Linked DNA regions of Danio rerio. The protein of the gene in region 2 purifies or fractionates together with the protein of the main gene of each other region. This does not show direct contact. Links are inferred from orthologs where the notes say so. Each region holds a gene or a part of one and is shown on either strand. Other genes may lie near its edges.

Region 1 (9,998 bases), on a different chromosome or scaffold from region 2:
TGTTTGTGCTGCCCAGTACATTACAAACCACAGAAGAGGGAAAATTCTTAAGCAGAAGAGCGCTCCTTTTTCAGACTTCAGCCTCCATATCAAAGTTTTTGAAAGCAAAGAAGGTCAAGGTGCTCCAGGATTGGCCAGCCCAGTCACCAGAAATGAACATTATTGAGCATGTGGGGTAAGATGGAGGAGGAGGCATTGAAGATGAAAACAAAGAATCATGATGAACTCTGGGAGTGCTGCAAGAACGCTTTCTTTGCCATTCCAGATGACTTTATTAATGAGTTATTTGAGTCACTGTAGAAATTTATGGATGCAGTCATCCAAGCTAATGGGCGTCATACACAATATTAACTATATATATTATAATACTATACTGTTGTCACCGACTTGGTCCCAGTCATTCCCCTCGCTGGCCAGCAGAGGTCACCATCTCCGGACTTCTAACCATTACGTCATCCATTTCACTCTGTTCCCAGCACACCTGTTATCCATTCCACTAATGACCCACGTACCACATATAAGCAGCTCTCACACACACTTCAGTGCGAAGTCTTGTTTAGTCCCGGCCAGCATTTCTGAGCGTTCTATCCTGCCTGATCTCCCGTTTACCACTTCAGCCCGTTTCACGACTCTGCTCTGTCTTCTGCCTGCCCTCGACCAAAGCCTGTTTTCCTCGGACTCTGATTCTCGCTGCCTGCACCTGACCAAAGCCTGTTACACGGACTCTGAATCACGCTGCCTGCCTCTGACCCAAGCCTGGTAATCACTCTGCGTCTGTTATCTGCTAAACCTCCTTTGATGTGTATGTTGTATGTCCGCACAGCGACATTGTTGATGTTTAAGTGTGACTTAATAAATACTGCAAAATGGATCCCTCCGTGTCAGTCTCCCCGTTACAACTGTACATTATTTCTGTTAAGTTACAAAAGTTTTGTCTAAGCAAATTCATACCTTACTGTCCTAATTAAATAATTTATAATTAAGGCATGATGATATTTTATTTTGGTAAAATGAGTGCAATTTTGAGGCCTTTGCTTTTCGTATAAGCCACTTCTGATACCAAATGATCAAGAACTTTTCATGTGGGTTTTAATAGGTGTTTTACACAATTTTTAAATGATTCATTGCACACTGTAGTTTAATGGTTAAAAGAAATCACTGTAAATTGAAAGAAAAATTCATTTTATTGGTACCAGGTATACATTTTCTATGGATTTAATTGTATAGTATGTGTAATAACAGCAGAATTAAATAACCTGCAAATAACTTGCACTCTAAGTAAAAGTTTTAATTTTAACAATAAACTGGGAAAAAGGCCAACCAGGCAGTTAAAGTGCCTTTTAAAGTGATAAAGAGTTCATGAAGTTTAGAATACACATGTATATGATAATTATTTTAAACTGTATCTTTGCTTCTAGGTCTGATCATATTTTTCCTAGGAATGGGAATCAATATCCACAGTGACCACATTCTTCGAAACCTGAGAAACCCTGGAGAAATATCCTATAAAATCCCGAGAGGTACAAATACATCAGGTTCTTTGTAATGTTAGCAACACTCATCATTTACTGTCTCTATCTTAGTCTCTCTAAGCAAACCCCAATTAGTGTCAGCGAATAAATGCTGAGCTGATTTATGTGTTCGTTTTAACTGCAGGCGGCATGTTCGAGTACGTGTCTGGAGCAAATTTCTTCGGAGAGATAGTGGAGTGGCTGGGATACGCTGTTGCTACATGGTCTTTACCAACGTTCGCTTTTGCTTTTTTCACAATCTGCTTCATAGGCCCCAGAGCCTATCATCATCACAAGTAAACCGAAATTCATCAATTACTCAGAAATATACAAACTGCACTACTCTAACATGCTTTCATTTGGAATTTCGATTGATTCAGTAAATTGATTTTCGACAGTACAATGCCGGAAATAAATGTTAGAAGTGGTTACTCTAATCTCTTCCAGGTTTTATAATGAGAAGTTCAAAGATTTCCCCAGATCAAGAAGATCTCTCATTCCCTTCATCTTCTGAGGAGCCACAACGAATAAAATGAATTCATCTTCTCAACTGTTGCAATGAAGAGCTGTTCTTGGGGTTGTTTTCATTACCTGATTTACCATACATTATGAGGGAAATTCTGCCACATGTAGGAAAGTAACTAAAATGTATAACTCGAAAATGTAATGGTAAAGGATAAATCATATAACAGAATGTTTTATTACTTGCTTATATTTTGTTGCAGTTGTTAGTGTGAAACTGTGTCATCTTTTTGTGATAATTGTAAGTGGGTTGATTTCCCTAAACAGTGTCAATACTATGTGATGCTACAGTATTAAAACCTAAGCGTCTTAACCGGCTCGTTTGAAAATCAGTAATTACATTTTGTTGAATGATTAGGGGTATTGACAGTGTCTGGTAATTCTGAACACAATTTTGCAAGTCGGTGATGCTTATTTTACTGCATCTTTAAAGTAAAAAGGTATTAATAGAACAATTAAACTACTTGGTTTAGAAATGTTGTTAATCCTCTGTTTTATTTAATAAAAGCGACAATCATTTAATCAAGACGTTGAAAGTAGGATGTAAAGAGAGAAGAATGTGGCCTACAGGCTTTTAAATCAAAAATATCAAATTGTATAAAATATGAATCAGTTATGGGTGTTTGTATAAAATATCTGGTGTAATACTGTATACATTTTTAAAGGTTTTCTGAGGAACCAAAGTGGGAAAAGGCCAGCATTTAGGCTACAGTATAGCAAATATTGTGAGCAAGCTGTGGAATCAGAAAAAGCTAAAACATTTGGAAAAGAAAAATACATAAATTATTTTAAAGACAAGTAATTGGTACCTCAATACTCCTCAGTCGTCAATTATGGACATTGAGCCAGATTAGTGTATCTTCAGACCTCAGAATTTACCAACCACGATTAAACAATGTTTACAACGAAAACGAATCGCTCATTTGATTTGAATCAGTTGAATCGGTTCAGTAAAATGTCCGAGTGATTCCCTTGAATCTGAAGAGGCATAAAGCGAGTCGACTCACTGAGTGAACTAAGAACTCTGAAACAAGTAGGCTAGTAAATTGTTCAATGAGCTGTTACCGTATAAAATTGACTCGAATCTTTAATTGCTGAGCCACTCTTCACCACGAGGGAGACAGTAGGAATCATTAATAAGTAAGTGTATTATAATGGAAGACTCAGATTTATAGAACTGTAAACTATCCAAGTCATATGCATTATAATTGTGTAAGTTATACATTAAAAATAACCTTTAATATAATTTTTTAGAACTGCTTCAGTGAACTTGAACAAGTATATTAAAAACCATTCATGTTCACTAGTTTTATTAGTATTTTTTCAAAGTGTACTTAAAATGCTTAAAAATTAGTCAAATCTTTGAAGACTAGAAATATATGTACTATATCATTTGTTTAAAAAAATGTGGGCAATAAATTATAGATTAACTTTATTTAAAAAATATTATATTAATCTAGGGCGAAGCAGTGGCGCAGTAGGTAGTGCTGTCGCCTCACAGCAAGAAGGTCGCTGGTTCGAGCCTCGGCTCAGTTGGCATTTCTGTGTAGAGTTTGCATGTTCTCCCTGCGTTCGCGTGGGTTTCCTCCAGGTGCTCCGGTTTCCCCCACAGTCCAAAAGACATGCAGTACAGGGGAATTGGGTAGGCTAAATTGTCTATAGTGTATGAGTGTGTGTTTGAATGTTTCCCAGGAATCGGTTGCGGCTGGAAGGGCATCCGCTGCGTAAAAACTTGCTGGATAAGTTGGCGGTTCATTCCGCTGTGGCGACCCCGGATTAATAAAGGGACTAAGCCGACAAGAAAATGAATGAATGAATGAATGTTAATCAAATTTTTAAATTCAACTATAGGGGTGCGGCCTGGTAGGGGGCCCTACAGGACATTGTGCCCAGGGGCCTCTGAATTCTTAATCCGGGCCTGGATGTGCCGTATCTATGGCTATATTTTAATATCCATTAATAACTGTATATTAAAATACAATATAAATTTAAAAGGAAAACTTTACCCTTATGTAAAAAATTACTAGGAAACATGCTTGTTCTTTCCTACAACGTATAATTTCATTTAAAATAGAAACTTGTGTGGAAATTAAGCAGATGTTTTAAACCTTATACTGCAATAATTTCAACAACTCTACCTGGAGATAAGTGCTTGCTCAAAGGCACAATGACAGTGACTGAGGCAGACTCCAAAATAAAACTTTTACCACACCTTTAACTGCTAAACTGAGGAAATGCACCTACAGTCACAAAACTTTATCGTGCCTTTAAAAATTCATCCTTGTGGCAACATGTTTAACTGTTTGCATAAAAAAAATAAATTAATTAAAAAACCATTCTGACATTTGAAGCTGGCCTAAAGTAAAATTTTGGCAAATCTACCAATGGTTGGTAAAAGTTAGTGGCCATTAATATATTGTTTACTGCCTAATTAATTATAGTTATATTATTTGATAATAATTATTATCAACATTGATATTAGTATTTGCCAAACAAACTTTTATAGTTGTTTAAGATCTTCATTATTTGCATTTGCCACACGTGAGAGTTCATTTTAGCCCAGGCTTGGAGCATTTTATTTAAAATAAAATTGACATTACAGTTTTTTTGTTTACAAATATTTTCCTCATAAAATTTGTTTTGAGTAAGAAATATAATATTTTTATATTACCACTTGGAGGAAAAAAACATCAGATTATAAAAACCTACCATACCAATCATCCTTGATTCAAATCACAATTCTTCACCAACATTCAATTAACATCCTTGATTATATATTTTACATCAAGAACCAAACTAGCCATCTCAACTGCCACATTCAACGCATTAAGCTTGGCAGAAAAGGAATCTAATACTTTAGGCTGAGTGTCATTGTTTTCTAGGAAAACAGGAGAAAAAGTCTGACAAGCTGTATTTAGATGAGTCTTCTCCAGGTTGGATCTGTCCTCCAGCAGTCCACAACCACAGGTGTGCTTAACTTCTGTCTGAGAACTGATATCCATGACCCATCTGTGGCCATATGTCAGGTCAATGAGACAGTCCTGTCCATCATGCTCTAAGGAAAGAGCCACAGCAAGTAAAGAACTGCGAAATGACTCGACTGCCATCAGGAACTCTGAATGGGAAATACCCAGAGCTGCAGCAGTGGTTGGAGCTGTGGACTGATTCTGTAAAGTAAAAAACAAGAATTAAAACAGAAGTTAATTAATGGGTGTTTCAATGGAATGTCTATTGTGATTGTGTCTCTGATAGGTGAAGTAACCCACTTGCAACATCCAGCTATAGGGGTTCCTCAGGGCTTAGTACAACAAACAGCATTAATAGGATCACATCCTTCCTTTCAGACCATGCTACACAACTCCTTGTCCAAGTTTTTGAAGATAATTAATTGGTTTCTACAGTCATCAAACCTTGTCAAAGTGTTTTTAATAATTTTTGACCACTGCAGCCTCAAAATAATTCAATCTTATTTAAAATTCAAGAGATCACACTTTATAGCTGATGATAGATTATAAAGCGTGTTTGGCATGCTGTCCCAGGAGAGAGCCCTGCGCTCATAAGATCCTCCAGCCTAGGGCTCCCTCCCGTTTGTAGGGCGAGAGGAGAGTTTGAGCTCAGATAGGGGCTTATTTATGGCTAATTACAAATTAGGAATAGCTATGGAGAGATATACTGCTGACTAAGAGCTAATCTATGGTGTCAATTTGGTTTAGTCAATTCACTTACAGTTAAAACCAGAAGTTTACATACACCGTATAAAAAGGCACATAACCATTTAAAAAAGTCAGATGTTAATGTGACTAAACTTTTTCTCTTTTAGTTAAGTTAGGATTATCAAATTTGTTTCTGTTATGTTTAATAGCAGAATAATAAGAGAGATATTTTTTGAAAAATTGTTATAACTTTTCTTGAAAGTCAAGTGTACATAGCATTATTATGCCTCTGAAAAGCTAAGATGATGTCGGCAAGGTTTTTGAGGTTTTTGATAATTGACAACATTTGAGTTAATTTGAGGCACAACTGTAGAATACTATTTAGGGAAAACCTCAAACATATTGTTTCCTTTTGTGACAACATGGGGAAATCAATGAGCCAGAATCAACAAAAAAAGCTAGATTACAATTTGCTAAATTACACTGGGAAAAAGAATAATTTTTGGAGACATGTCCTGTGGTCTGATGGAACCAAGACTGAACTGTTTGGCCATAATGACCAGTGTTACATTTGGTGGACAAAGGGGAAAGCTTACAAGCCTAGGAACACCATCCCAACTGTGAAGTATAGGGGCATCATATTGTGGGGCTGTTTTGCTGCAGGAGGGACTGGTCCACTTCACAGCATAGATTGCATCATGAAGAAAGAACATTATGTAGAAATACTGAAGCAACATCTTAGGACATCAGCCAGGAAATGAAAACTTGGCCAAAAATAGGTCTTCCAAACAGACCATGACCCTAAGCATACTGCCAAATTATTTCAAATGTGCTTTAAGGACAACACAGTGAATGTTTTGGAGTGGCCATCACAAAGTGCTGAACTCAATCCTATAGAAAATTTGTGGGCAGAGTTGAAAAAGCTTGTGCGAGCAAGACAGACAACAAATCTGACTTAGTTACACCAGTTATGTCAGGAAAAATTGGCCAAAATTCCTTCAAACTATTGTGAGAAGCTAGTGGAAGGATACCCAAAACATATGAAAAGAGTTACAGTTTAAAAGCAAAGCTAAAAAAATACCAAAGAAATGAAAACTTTTGACTCTCTGGAAATTAATAGAAAAATTCTCATTATTCTGTCATTTAGCAAATGTAAATCATTTAGGTAATCCTACGGACCTTAAATAGTAAACGTTTAGTATGATTTACCACCAGACATTTTTTAAAAAATGGTTATGTCCGGGTAAACCTACGTGAGCACGAGGAGAACATGTAAACTCTGCACAGAAACGTCGACTGGCCTGGTAAGGATATGAACCAGTGACATTTTTGCTGTGAAGATGCCACCCTATCAAGGAAAAGGGAGGAGGAGTTGGGGTGGAAGGAGGGATACATCAAGACAAAGATAGCTGAGGTAAGAAACTCTGGTTATTTATTATGAGTTGTATCATGTGATGGCTAATGCGGCACCAGCTGTGATCAATCATAAGCATATGATCCTCTTGAAATTTGTTTATAAATAAAATTTACTTATTTAATGCAAACATGTAATTGTCTGTAGATTAAATTAACAAAACATTTTATTACAATCAAGCGCATTGTTTTAAACAGATGTATGGTAACCTTATTGATGTTTATATATATATATATATATATATATATATATATATATATATATATATATATATATATATATATATATATATATATATATATATATATATATATTGCCAATTTGGAGGAGCTGCTTTTTTCAAAAAACAATTTATTCTTGGAGGCGCACACCTGTTTCTTAAAATGATGCAACCCAAAATTGTGAATGATCCAACAAAAGCTGCAAACTGTAATGGTTTATACACCCCGCCAATAATATCTATGTTTGTTTGCACACCCCCCAATAATATCTACATTTTTTACATTTCTAAATGAGGAATGTACTATATAATGCACAAACTCTTTTGTAAAATTCTGACTTGTGAAAGTTTCTAATCAATATTGTAGAACTGAACGTCAATCTGATGTGTAACTCAGTGTAATAGAATACCATATGTGTGATGTGGGTGGCCAGCTGTGTTTCTGTGCAGCCGCCTCCAAGCAGGGCGTAGGGCTCCCTCAGAGTCAGTCGCAACACATGTTCTGCTCTCTGGCAAGTCATCTGTCCGACAAATGGAACAAATGTTCATCATTTCAGAGCAATGAAAGAGGAAATCAATGCAATACATTTGAATGAACAACAAATGGAGTTCATTAAATCTGGAAAAAAGTTTGACTTCATTTGGATTCATGTCTTTGGACTGTGGAGGAAATCGAAGTACCCGGAGGAAACCAATGCGAACATGGGGAGAACCAGTGGAACCAGAACCAGAATTGGACTCGAACCAGTGACCTCCTTGATTTGAGGAGACAGTGCTATATAGACTTAAGATCAATGCTTATAGAGATAGTTCAAACAAAAAGAAAATATTTAAGACTTGAAAGTATGACAATTGTCCTAAGTGACATGTTCTGTGCGAAACATTTCATGTGTTTTGGAAAAAAATAGATTCATATAAATAGGCATAGATTCAACAAGGTACTGGAAATATTCCTGAGAGATTCTGGTCCATATTGACATGATAGCATCACACAGCTGCTGCAGATTTGCACTGCAAAAAATGCTTTTCTTGCTTAGATTTTTTGTCTTGTTTCTAGTCTAAATATCGAAAATTTCTTATATCAAAAAGCATTTTCTAGACAGCAAAACATATTGTCTTGTTTTGAGAAATAATATGCCAATATTAAGTGAGTTTTTCCTTAAAACAAGCTAAATAATCTGCTAATGGGGTAAGCAAATAAATCTTGCTTTTTCTTTTAACGTAAGATTATTTTGCTTGCCCCATTAGCAGATTATTTTGCTTGTTTTAAGGAAAAACCCACTTAATATTGGCATATTATTTCTCAAAACAAGATAAAATGTTTTGCTTGTCTAGAAAATTCTTCTTGTTTTAGGAATTTTTAGATATTTGGACTAAAAACAAGACAAAAAAATCTAAGAAAAAAAAGCATTTTTTGCAGTGTGTTGGCTGCCCATCCATGATGCGAATCTCCCATTCCACCACATCCCAAAGGTGCTGTACTAGATTGAGATCTGGTGATTGATTTGTGCGTGAAAATCCCAGTAGATCAGCAGTTTCTGAAATACTCAGACCAGCCTATCTGGCACAAACAACCATGCCATGTTCAAAGTGACTTAAATCACCTTTCTTCGCCATTCTGATGCTCGTTCTGAACTGCTGCAGATCGTCTTGACCATGTATACATGCCTCAATGCATTGAGTTGCTGCCATTTGATTAGCTGATTAAAAATTTGCAATAACAAGCAGTTGGACAGATGTACCTAATAAAGTGGCTTGTGAGTGTATTTTCAATCTCTGAGTCAAATTGAGAATGAAGATATGATTCAAAATGAGAGCTTCTGAAGCAGAACCTAATCAACTCAAACATCTAAATCAAATTAAAACAAACTGCTAAACAAAATAATTAAAATTTAAAATAAAAAAGTCTAAATAACAAGAAGCACTCAACTGCACAAACCTTCAGTTCTTCCAGCATAGTTTCATTTCTGTGGCAGAGGACCATAGTGCTTATTGCAGCATGTTTAGAGGAGAGGAGCTGAAGCAGCTTCTTGGATCCACAGTCCTGGAAACATAATCCAGCAACCAACCCATAAGCTTCCATCGGGACCAGAGAGAAAAGAGATGCAACAGCCCGTGCACCTGAAATATCAGCATAAGTGTTCAAGTTAAGCCTCTATGAATGTAGAGACTAACATCTACTTTAAATTCTACTGCATTGGACTATAATATTACATATTATTACCAATAACGTAAGCAAAGGCATGGCTTTAAATAATAAAAATAAAAAGTAAATTCATATATATTGACCAGTGGTTCTCAAAGAGAGGTCCAGGACCCCCTGAGGGGTTGCAGGACAATGACAGGGAGTCGCTTTGTGATTTTCAAAAGTCAAATAAATTGTATTAAACCATTGATTTTAACCATAAGCCACATAAGATAAATAGTAGTTTTTAATAGTAAAAAACAAAAACATGCAAATGAAAAGCATCAGTCTTTAAACTTCTTTTTTAAAGGATTAGTGCGATTATGTTAGATTAGCAACACAGCAATAGTGTCAGCTGCAGCAGATTGATTTTATAGCACCAGGGTAAACTTTCTGACACCTTTCTGACATTTAAATACATTAAAAATAAATACAGGCCACAACTGAATATTGAGGATGATCTCCATTATTATTATCTCTAAAATAAACCAAG
Region 2 (10,740 bases):
TCACTTCCATTATTTGGCAGTTGGTGACGGTCACAAAAGCAAAGCGTCAAAAGACTTCCGCACATCCCGGTCAATTTGCTTTTACTGAATCTTTTAGTTTTGGACATACAGAAAGCGACTCACGTCTATCTGCCGCAACCATATTATAAACATTCAGAACATCACACAGTAGCCCCTTTCACACATACAGACCTTTCCGGAAAATTGCCGGCAATTTTCCGGAAAGGTTGTATGTGTGAACAGGTCCTTTTTGAAAATACCGGTAAATTCGCTCTGGCTATTTTCCGGAAAGAGAAGTTGTAACATTACCGGCAATTTGCCGGAATGCTGCGCTGTGTGAATGCAGAAGGAAGATTGCCGTAATAATCGCGTGCACGTCTAGAACATGCTGACGTGAGACGTCTGCTTTAGCCAATCACAACAGTCAGACGCATTTACGTCCGCGCGGTTTATGAGAATAAAAGCCTTTGAATATTTTTCCAGACACATTTATCTGCTAGAAGTTAGTCAGATCACGTTTCTATGTTCTTCTTAGTGCCAACTGTGTAAATAACCATCGATGAGATGCTTATGATAAGCCGTTGTTTGTTTACCTTCAAGCTTTGCGTGTGCCTGTGAAACAGCCTGTGAGCGCCTGCACACGCTCATATTATGAACATCTCGACATGCGAAAGTGATCCTGCAAAAGTTGTTCACAATATTGATCATCCACAGAGTTTGTAATTTAGTCAAAGGTTTACAAACACAAGCGCAGCCGTTTAAAGCTCATTTGTGGTGAATGATGTCAGAATTTACCGGTATTTTGGAATGGATGTGTGAATGCTCTTTTCCGGCAAATTTCCGTAACGTCCTCGCCTGTGTGAACAGCGCTTTTTTGAATATACCGGTAAAGTCGTTCTGGAAATTTTCCGGATATTTACCGGTATCACTGTGTGAAAGGGGCTAGTGTCTGCAGAAGCTGATTTTAGAAGAGACAAGAAGAAATTATCACTGTGTTTGCCCTGGCTCAGTCCCGCTTGTCACCAAGGTACGATACGTCACACACACACACACACACACACACACACGCGCACGCAAACGAACGTTATGAAAACGATAGTTTGTTGTACAGTTGGCGGTTCACTTCCGTTATTTGGTATGATTGCATTCATACCAGAAGTGAACCGTACCAGAGTTCGCATGAACCGTACCCCAGACCACCTCTTTCAGGCAGACTCGGGTACGGTTCACAGGTGCGCACCTGAGTTCAGAAGACACGTTCACACTAGCTAAATGTACCATACTATGACGTCAAACGACCCCAGGTGCGGACCAAAAGTCTTCGGGTGCTTTCACACCTACACTTTTGTTTCGGAACGTGTCTCGTTTGCCCAGTTAGCGCGGTTCGTTTGGCATATGTGAACAGGGCAATCGCGCTCTGTTCCATGCCAAAGTAATCGCTCCGAGATCGCTTGAATGAGGTGGTCTCGGCTCGATTGAAACGAACCCTGGAGCAGATCGATTGCATTGAGAAAGCGATCCGATCCGAGCGCGGTTATATCACAGTGTTTTATGGATATGTAATAGGCATACGGCTATAAGAAGAGAGAATTATGAGTAGGGCGGGAAGTTTCGCGAGTCTCCGGATGCCCGCAAACGAGTGATGATCTCCCGGTAATCTCGCGTCTCCCTCCCGGTCCTCAAATAGGCTATGTCGCGCACCCTTCCCCACCGCATCTCTCCGCAGACACATCGCGCGCGCACCCTGTCAATCACCACCAAACCACCACCTCTCCTGACAGCTGAGCGGGACGCTGCAAAATAAACCCTGACACCCTGACTAATGTGAGGAGAGTTTACTCGCACGTGACTTGTTTTTAGCTCTTTTGGTCCGATTAGAAACTTTGCAGTGTGAAAGCGAACCGCTCCAAGAGCAAAGAGCAACAATGTAACAATTGTAATCTCTGTTTCGGAACAACTGAATCGATTCACTGGTGTGAAAGCACCCTTCGTGTGAAAGCTCCCTGAAAGAGGTGGTCTGGGGTACGGTTCATGCGAACTCTGGTTCGGTTCACTTCTGGTATGAATGCAATCGTACCAAATAACGGAAGTGAACCGCCAACTGTACAACAAACTATCGTTTTCATAACGTTTATTCGTTAACGTTTCATAACGTTCATACCCTTGGCAAAGGATACCAAAAAAGTGGTACGGTACGATTCAATTTTAGGTACCTTTTGACTGTAGAAACGGCCATAAAAGTGTACCCAACCAAACCGTACCACTCAGTGGAACCGGGCCATTAGACTTTGATCCTAATTGTGGCGTTTTGGTGACTGTTGCTTTAAATTCAAATGAGATTTCAGAAGAGGGCGGAGCTACAAATGCCTGTGTCAGCATAGTGGCAGATTCAAAAATAAGACTAACGTCCTATGCTAATGAGGGAGAGATGGTCACTTGTGGGCGGGGCTTCCCCCTCTGATGACACGTACAAGGGGAGAATGTCAATCAAAGTGTTTCTGCAGACTGTTCTTATCAAGTCTGATTATAACGAATAAAATTAGTTCATGTTTACCATTATGAGCTGGATATATTCACACACTGCTGACACACAACTGTGTTTAACCCCCTTATAAAAGTGATTTCTGCATAATAGCTCCCCTTTAAATAAACATAACAAATTACCTGTCAGGGTGCAGCTGTGTGTACTGTCGAAGCCGGCGTATGCAGATGAGTTCAGTGACTCCAGCGCCATGCAGAAGTTTCCCATCTGTGAGCGCATGCTGCAGCCGGTGCGCGCAGCTCCAGAACTCATCCTCCAGCATCTGCAGTTTAGCAGACACAGAGCTGCATATAACCGCAGTGACCAGAACCGAGCAGTCAGTGGTGATGCTCACAATATCAGATCTCCCACTGATCGACTCTTTCCTGAGCCTCAGCCCTCGGCCCACGCGGCGCTCATCCAGCTGACAGATGTAGGACACCGGGACGGCTCCGGTGCATGTGCTGAAATGCTTCAAAACGCTGCTTTTAACACCTTCAAGAATCAGAACGTCTTTGCATCTCTGTTTCAGATCCACATCAACCACACCGCTCACAAACACAACATCAATACTGGAATCATGCAGGAGTTTGTATGCATTTTCAATCCAGGATTCCTCAGTGATGAACAAATCGGTGATGTGCTTGATGTTTCCAGGCCTATTAAAGCCCACATGGCGATATTTCTCAGATAAATCGCCGTTTATTAAAGCGATATTCAATGGACGTCCCTGAAGGCGCTGAACTTGGGTCGTCTGTTGGACTGAGAGCAGTGTGACATACCCACGCAACACACACGCATGATCTTCAGATACGCCTGGGATGCAGCACGTTGCCAGATTGTGTATATCCAGATGTGCGCGGTTTTGCAACTCATACGCTTTTAAAAGTAAATGCATGGAGGAGCATCCGTGGCTGACGGCTTGTGCGATGACAGTGACATCATGATGTGTGTGTTCGGTTTGTGCATTAAAGTGTCTGCTGTGTTTGAGGGTCATATGCATGCTTTGATTGTCCAATTTAATATCTGATTTCGTAAAATCTTGCATAGTAACTTCTGATTGTGTGTGTTCAGTTTGTGCATTAAAGTGTCTGCTGTGTTTGAGTGTCATATACATGCATTGATCATCAGATTTATCATCTAACTTCCTAAAATCTTGCATATTGTGTTCAGTTTGTGCATTAAAGTGTGTGCTGTGTTTCAGTGTCATATCCATGCATTGATCAATAGATTTAATATCTGATCCCTTTAAATCTTGCACATTGACATCTGATTGTGTGTTTTTAGTTCGTGCATTAAAGTGTCTGCTGTGTTTGAGTGTCATATGCTTGCATTGATCATCAGATTTATCATCTAACTTCCTAAAATCTTGCATATTGACATTTGATTGTGCGTGTTCCGTTTTTGTATTAATGTATCTGCTGTGTTTGAGTGTCATATCCATGCATTGATCATTAGATTTAATACCTGATCCCTTAAAATCTTGCACATTGTCATCTGATTGTGCGTGTTCAGTTTGTGTATTAGCATATCTGCTATGTTTATGTGTCATATCCATGCACTGATCATCTGATTTAATACTTAACTTTCTAAAATCTTGCACATTGTCATCAGATTGTGTGTTTTTAGTTCGTGCATTAATGTATCTGCTGTGTTTGACCATCATATCAATGCACTGATCATTAGATCTAACATCAGATTTCTTAAACTCCTCCACACTGACCGCTAACTGTGTGCATGCATCCAAACACTCCTGCAGTCCTCCCCTCATGGCTGATTTAATGTCCGACACACTGATTCCTCTGTTCAGACACTCCAGAGCGACTCGGCTCCAGGCTCCGGCCAGAAACATCAGCGTGTTCGTGCCCGAGTGGAAGAGCTTCTTCTGGGCCAGAACTGTCTCGTGCAGCAGCTGTCCGACAGATCCGTCCAGCTCCAGGTGTTCCAGCAGACGTGGACAGGATCCGATTAAAACTGCATCCCCGGCGTCTTCATCTTGAATGAACTTCAGCCGTTTGTTTGGACCTAGAAATGCATGAGCGGTGGATGTGATGGCCTGCAGCTGCTGGAGGCCGATGTGACGCCGCTGAGAGAAAAAAAAAAGAGGAGATAGTTTGTAAAAATATTGAATTATATAAAGAAAAGGACACACTTTGTGTTCCAGTGTAAATTATACCTTGCTACGTGGTCAGGGTTAGGATGAGGGTCAGGTTTAGGGTTAATTGCATGAAATTATGCATCATTTATAGTTATTACTACATTAAGTACATGGATCATACAATTACTGAAATGAAGTTGACAATTTAAAAAAAAATATGAAATTAATAATAAAGACAAATAATAGTGCAAACGTATTTTAATAATAATATAATATAATACTAATAAAGATGTTATATATGAAGTTAATAATGTCATTATTCAACGTTTATTAAATATTACTCATCTTTTAACTCTGCATTTAATAAGAATTACAATTAAACTAGCACTGCTTCAGTTGTGCTCTCTTCTCACATAGATTAAACCCCATTGTAACCCTTAAAGTGTGAAATAAGTTAGGAAAGACAGCAAATGCTTTCTTTGTAGCTACAATGAGAAAACTGAATGTTTCTGAATGACAACAGTCGATAACAGTGCATCCAGCATTAGCAAAGTAGCTTCTATTGTACTTCATGCAAGCAAAACAACGCACTTTCAAATGATCTGGGTATCATTTTGCTCAAAATCCGAGTCAAATCCAAGTTTGTACACGAAAGCTTTCATAAATAACGTCCTGATTGAACTGAATCGTTACAAACCTTCATCGCAAAGCTGCACTGTTTACAACTCGGGTCCATGTTCTGAAATGCGCACGCGCACTGCACTAGCACACGGCTTCTATTGAATAGTTGCTAAGAGACGGACGCCAAACGAACCAAGCTGTCCATCAAACTCAACACATCCCGCCCGCTCATGTTTGATTGGTAAAACCGTAAGCACCAAGAGTAGCTACGCCTGCTATTGGATCAATCAGCTGTCACTCACATTGGGACCACGCCCAGTCTGCGCGCTCGAGGAAGCCACGACAGTTGCTGACAGCGTTTCCTTCTGTTTACTAACATCTCACGCAGGTTACAACACGGTGCTTTTATTCTGCGCTTTTTATCAAAATGGTAAGTGTTATTTAGGTTACTTTTAATACTTTATTAACGAATTCGTGTCAGTATAATGTATTTAAAAGGTTAACACGCTGTTTGTTAGCTAAACAGTTAGCTTGTTGGCGTTATTGTTATGGAAACCAGCGGCTATTCGCTTTATAAACAGTAAAACAACAGAGTAAAAACAGTTTAATTTACATTATGAATAAAACATGTTTAATTTGAATTACACGGTTATTCTTTACAGTATGTGTTGAATCTAATTAATTACACTTAAGTTAATGTAAATCTACGTGTGTGATTATGAAACTAATCCATCAACCCAGATTACAGATTAACAACGAGTGAGTAAAGTATGTAAAGGTGTGATTAAGTGGCCTTTATTTAACCTATTGATTGAAAATCCAATGTTGAGGCAAAAGATGCAAAACCAGATTAAACATGAATGCAAACATATTTACATTAAAATAAGACATTTCGCATCAACATTGCATTGCTATTTTTTCCTTTATGAATATTTTCTGCTCACAAATGCTCCATTTATTTCAATATTAAACATTAATTTTCTTTTTGAATATTAAGAACTGCTTTCTGTGTGAAAATATTGTAAATATAATGTATTTATGTGATTCAAAACTGAATTCTCAGCATTATAAGTCACTTTGGGTAAATGTTTTTGCCAGTGATTGAATGTAAACGTAAATATAATCACATTACATAATTAAATATGAGTTTTTGAATATCCTAAGATTGTTTAGAATATAAAGCCTAAGCTTAAAGAGACAGTGCTCTGCATATATGAATACAAACATCACAAATCTATCTTTTAAATGAACATTTTCTATGGGATGCTTTACAATATTATATATGTACATATATGTATAGAGGTAAAGTTGGTTTTATATTCGCATATTCGTTCATTTAGAAGTCTCTACATTGTTTACCATGTTACTTTGAATATTCAATCGGAATTAGCATGCAAGTATGACTTCTAAACAACATTGACACTATGCAATTCACTGTAAACAATGTTGTACTTTGATGGTCATTTGCTGCTAATATGATTTCGCTATTTACAATTTTCAAATAATACTTTTCTGAAATTACATTATTAAGGAGAATGTCTGAATATCCGAATATAAAACCAACTTTACCTCTATCATATATGTCCGTTGCTGAAGCCAAATCTGGAGCTAATCTACCAAAATAACGTATAATGATCTAAAAATTAGCCCACCTAAATGTATTTGTTAGGAAAAAATATAAATTAAAATGTAAAAAAAGAAGTGTAAAAATCAAGAGAAACAAAAAAATTATAGTTAAAAATTTGTAGTTTTGTATTTTCTTTCTATTTCTAACAATCTTTGGTGACTAAAATATTATTCAAATAAATATATTGGTCTATTAAATCTGTTTTGTTTAAATGCACCAAAATATATGACCTTTGTTCCCTGAGAAATGGATAAAAGTATTAATTTTCAAAATGCGATGTACTCGTTTATGCTGAACATATGAATTATGAACATAAACACACATAAAATATAAAGAAAACCCATGATAATCAACATATAGGATGTGTCTGCTCACTTATTTCTGCATTTGCTCTTCTGTTGCACCTCCAACAATGTTTAAGTTCAGTTGATAGTCTTATTTGATTAATACATGACATGACTATTTCAAAAACAGTTTCATAAAACTTTAAAAACATAATTTAAAGTGTAATCTTATCGCCCCCTGGTGGAGACGTGTCTGAATCTCTCTTTTTGCTGTTATTTTCAAGGCGTCCGGCTTCAGGAAAAGCAGTGCTTCAGCAAACCAGAGGAAGAAAGCAGGACCCAAACCAGAGCTGACAGAAGAGCAGAAGCAGGAGATCAAAGAGGCGTTCGATCTGTTCGACACAGACGGCTCTGGAACCATCGATGTCAAGGAACTGAAGGTACAGACACTCTGAGACTCTAGTGTTCGCTATTGAGAAAGTGGATGAATCTTGCCATTACATAACACTGAAATCTGCTAAGTGACTAGTCTTACTTCTTATTCACTACTGGTTGATTAAATGTCCCACAACCCTGAGGTTACATCCATAATCTGTTATCAGATTATATGAGCCAGCCTAGCGAAAGGGATGCTTGCAGTTATCCTCATCAGTTTGCATTTATGATATCTCTGTTGATATTATAATGTGCACTTTTTGATGCAACAAAAACATTACAAATGTTGTCAAATTGCTTAATATTTAAATATTTTTGCATTCAAATGTGTATACAGTTGAAGTCTGAATTATTAGCCTCCCTGAATTATTAGTCCCCGTTTATTTCTGTTTAATGGAGAGCAGATTTTTTCAATACATTTCTAAATATAGTAGTTTTAATAACTCATTTCTAATAATTGATTTGTTTTATCTTTGCCATCATGACAATAAATAATATTTGACTAGATAATTTTTAAGACACTTCTTAAAGTGGCATTTAAAGGCTTTAATAGGTTAATAAGGTGAACTAGGCAGGTTAGGGTAATCAGGCAAGTTATTGTATAATGATGGTTTGTTCTGTAGACTATCAAAAAAATATATAGCTTAAAGGGGTTAATAAATATTGACCTTAAAATGGTGTTTAAAAAATTAATAACTGCTTTTATTCTAGCCAAAATAAAACAAATAAGACTTTCTCCAGAAGAAAAAATATTATCAGACATACTGTGAACATTTCCTTGCCCTTTTAAACATAATTTAGGAAATATTTAAAAAAGAAAAAATCTTTAAATTTATGCTTTAAATTTAACATTTTGCAATAAATAAATATAATATGTTGGGGAAAATAATTAACTAATTTATTAGACCGTTATGCACTGTCATTTATTTCATAATAATGGAATTATGATTTGTTTTTCATCCAAAATGTCCAGTATTTAAAAATGTCTCTACATGTATAGTTTTATAAAGAGATTTTTACTCTTTCATAATTGACATTTTATCCTGAAATGTCATTTTAATATTAAATAATACATTAAATAATGAGCATCAGAATTTTTCCAGCTTATTAATTACTATGACTTAAATACTATTACTAAATACTATGACACATTTTCTGAAATCTTATGGTTATTTTGAACATTAAACAATTAAAAGAAAAACACATTCTTTCAAAATATCGCCTCAGTGATCATGAACTAGAAATAGAAAAGGGCAGACATAAAAAATCCTGGACCCCTAAAAAACAGAGAATATGTAAACAGTGTGACACAAACCAAATAGAGGTTGAGACACACTTCCTTCTGTTCTGCCCTAAATACACCACGACTAGAGAAATATTTTCCCCCAATTTGAAACATTGACTTATTCATTTTTCAATTTAAATGATTCAGAAAAAACTTTACCATGTACTCGGAGAGGATGAATTGACATCTAGACTAGCTGCAAAATATGTATACATACACACCATAAGAAATGGTTAATGTAAATTCATTTATCTTATTTAAATAATTTAAACTTATTATTATTATTATTGTTGTTGTTGTTGTTGTTGTTGTTGTTGTTATATTTATCAAAGTTTTTTGTCATTATTTCTTATCTACTGTATTATTATTATTTTTTTGATGGTTTTAATATATTACATATTTAAAGTGCTTTGGCAATACTGTACTGATTCTTATGCCAATAAAGCAACTTGAACTTGAAAATGGGGTAGAAATATGTAATTAAATATGCACTAATTTGCATACATTTACAGAACAGAAAACTGAAGATTGGAAATGGGCAAATTCAATACTCTTATTTATTTATTTATTTTTCAACATATTAAATGTTTATCACTTCATTAACCTGAATATACAGTCAACAGAGATAAACACACACACACACACAACATGTTTTTCAGTAAAACATTGTAGGGCTGCACAATATTTAGTTTCAGCATTGATATGATCTGGAATGTAAACATTGACATGATTTATATTTAATTACTGAAGGTCTGTACCTCAATATTATCAGACTCCACCAAAAACCATAAAGCGCTGCTTGGTTCATTTTTATCTTTGTTCTGTTGTTTTCATCTGTGCTTTAAAATAGTTTCTGCACCTACAAAATCATCCAAATCCATGTGCAATTATGAAATTCTTTACAGATAGAATTTTAAAGTCATCTTGAGAAATTATATTATCACTTTATATTGCAGAAAAACAAAAAAAAATCGCAATGTGAGTTTTTTCAAATATCGTGCAGCCCTAAAATTTTGAATAAATTAAGTCAGATTATTTTTTGATTCTTAAGTGAAAGATGAGCACAAAAACACCTCCTGGTTCCCATTGTTACACTGCATACTAACCCAGTGTCTGACTGTTGTCATCAGGTTGCGATGCGAGCTCTGGGGTTTGAGCCGAAGAAAGAAGAGATAAAGAAGATGATCGCTGATATTGATAAAGAAGGATCGGGCGTAATCGGCTTCAGCGATTTCCTTTCTATGATGACACAGAAAATGGTGAGCAAACCAAACAATAACAGAACAATCTACAGTAAATCTGACCGCTGGAGCGCACCGCAGGCTCTGCAGAGAACGACGCCAATGAGTCTTCACTGTATGATGTGATGTGAACCACTGGACTGACAGAGTCCAGCTTCAATCTAAATTATGAGTGAAATTTGAATTCTTTTTCTAATATTTCCCAAGTGATGTTGACAGAGCATTTTTCACAGTATTTCATATGTAAAATTGAAAATGTAAAATCTGCTGAGGTCAATAATAAAATCCTTTTTTCTGATTGGCTATATTAAATTTCATAGCATTTAAGACCGGCAAAAATAAGCTTTAAATATAATATTCATTCATTCATTTTCCTTCGGCTTAATTCCTTATTTATCAGGGGTCACCACAGCAGAATGAACTGCCAACTATTCCTGCATATGTTTTACGCTGCGGATTGCCTTACAGCTGCAACCCAATACTGGGAAACACCCATACACTCATACACCACAGCCAATTTAGTTAATCAATTCCCCTATAGCGCAAGTGTTTGGACTGTGGGGGAAACCGGAGCACCCGGAGGAAACTCACACCAACACAGAGAGAACATGCAAACTCTACACAGAAT

The links.
Region 1: the proteins of bbs12 (region 2) and mkks purify together in Homo sapiens (co-immunoprecipitation; 4 studies listed by BioGRID and IntAct, counting the BioPlex papers as one, with this or other methods). This does not show direct contact. The link is inferred for Danio rerio from reciprocal best matches to the Homo sapiens genes BBS12 and MKKS.

Annotation. Positions count from the first base shown.
Region 1 is NC_133188.1:38,935,986-38,945,983, reverse strand, and holds the end of mkks (molecular chaperone MKKS), read right to left. Parts: intron 9,442-9,998; coding exon 9,251-9,441; intron 7,842-9,250; coding exon 7,731-7,841; intron 5,201-7,730; coding exon 4,787-5,200; 3' UTR 4,586-4,786; downstream 1-4,585. Other genes in the region: srd5a2b (3-oxo-5-alpha-steroid 4-dehydrogenase 2b), read left to right, coding at 1,419-1,520, 1,657-1,807, 1,959-2,025. UniProt on the Homo sapiens protein: Probable molecular chaperone that assists the folding of proteins upon ATP hydrolysis. Plays a role in the assembly of BBSome, a complex involved in ciliogenesis regulating transports vesicles to the cilia.
Region 2 is NC_133189.1:1,596,313-1,607,052, reverse strand, and holds the start of bbs12 (Bardet-Biedl syndrome 12 protein), read right to left. Parts: upstream 5,407-10,740; 5' UTR 5,356-5,406; coding exon 5,317-5,355; intron 4,608-5,316; coding exon 2,665-4,607; intron 1-2,664. Other genes in the region: uncharacterized protein cetn4, read left to right, coding at 5,668-5,670, 7,436-7,591, 10,002-10,130. UniProt on the Homo sapiens protein: Component of the chaperonin-containing T-complex (TRiC), a molecular chaperone complex that assists the folding of proteins upon ATP hydrolysis.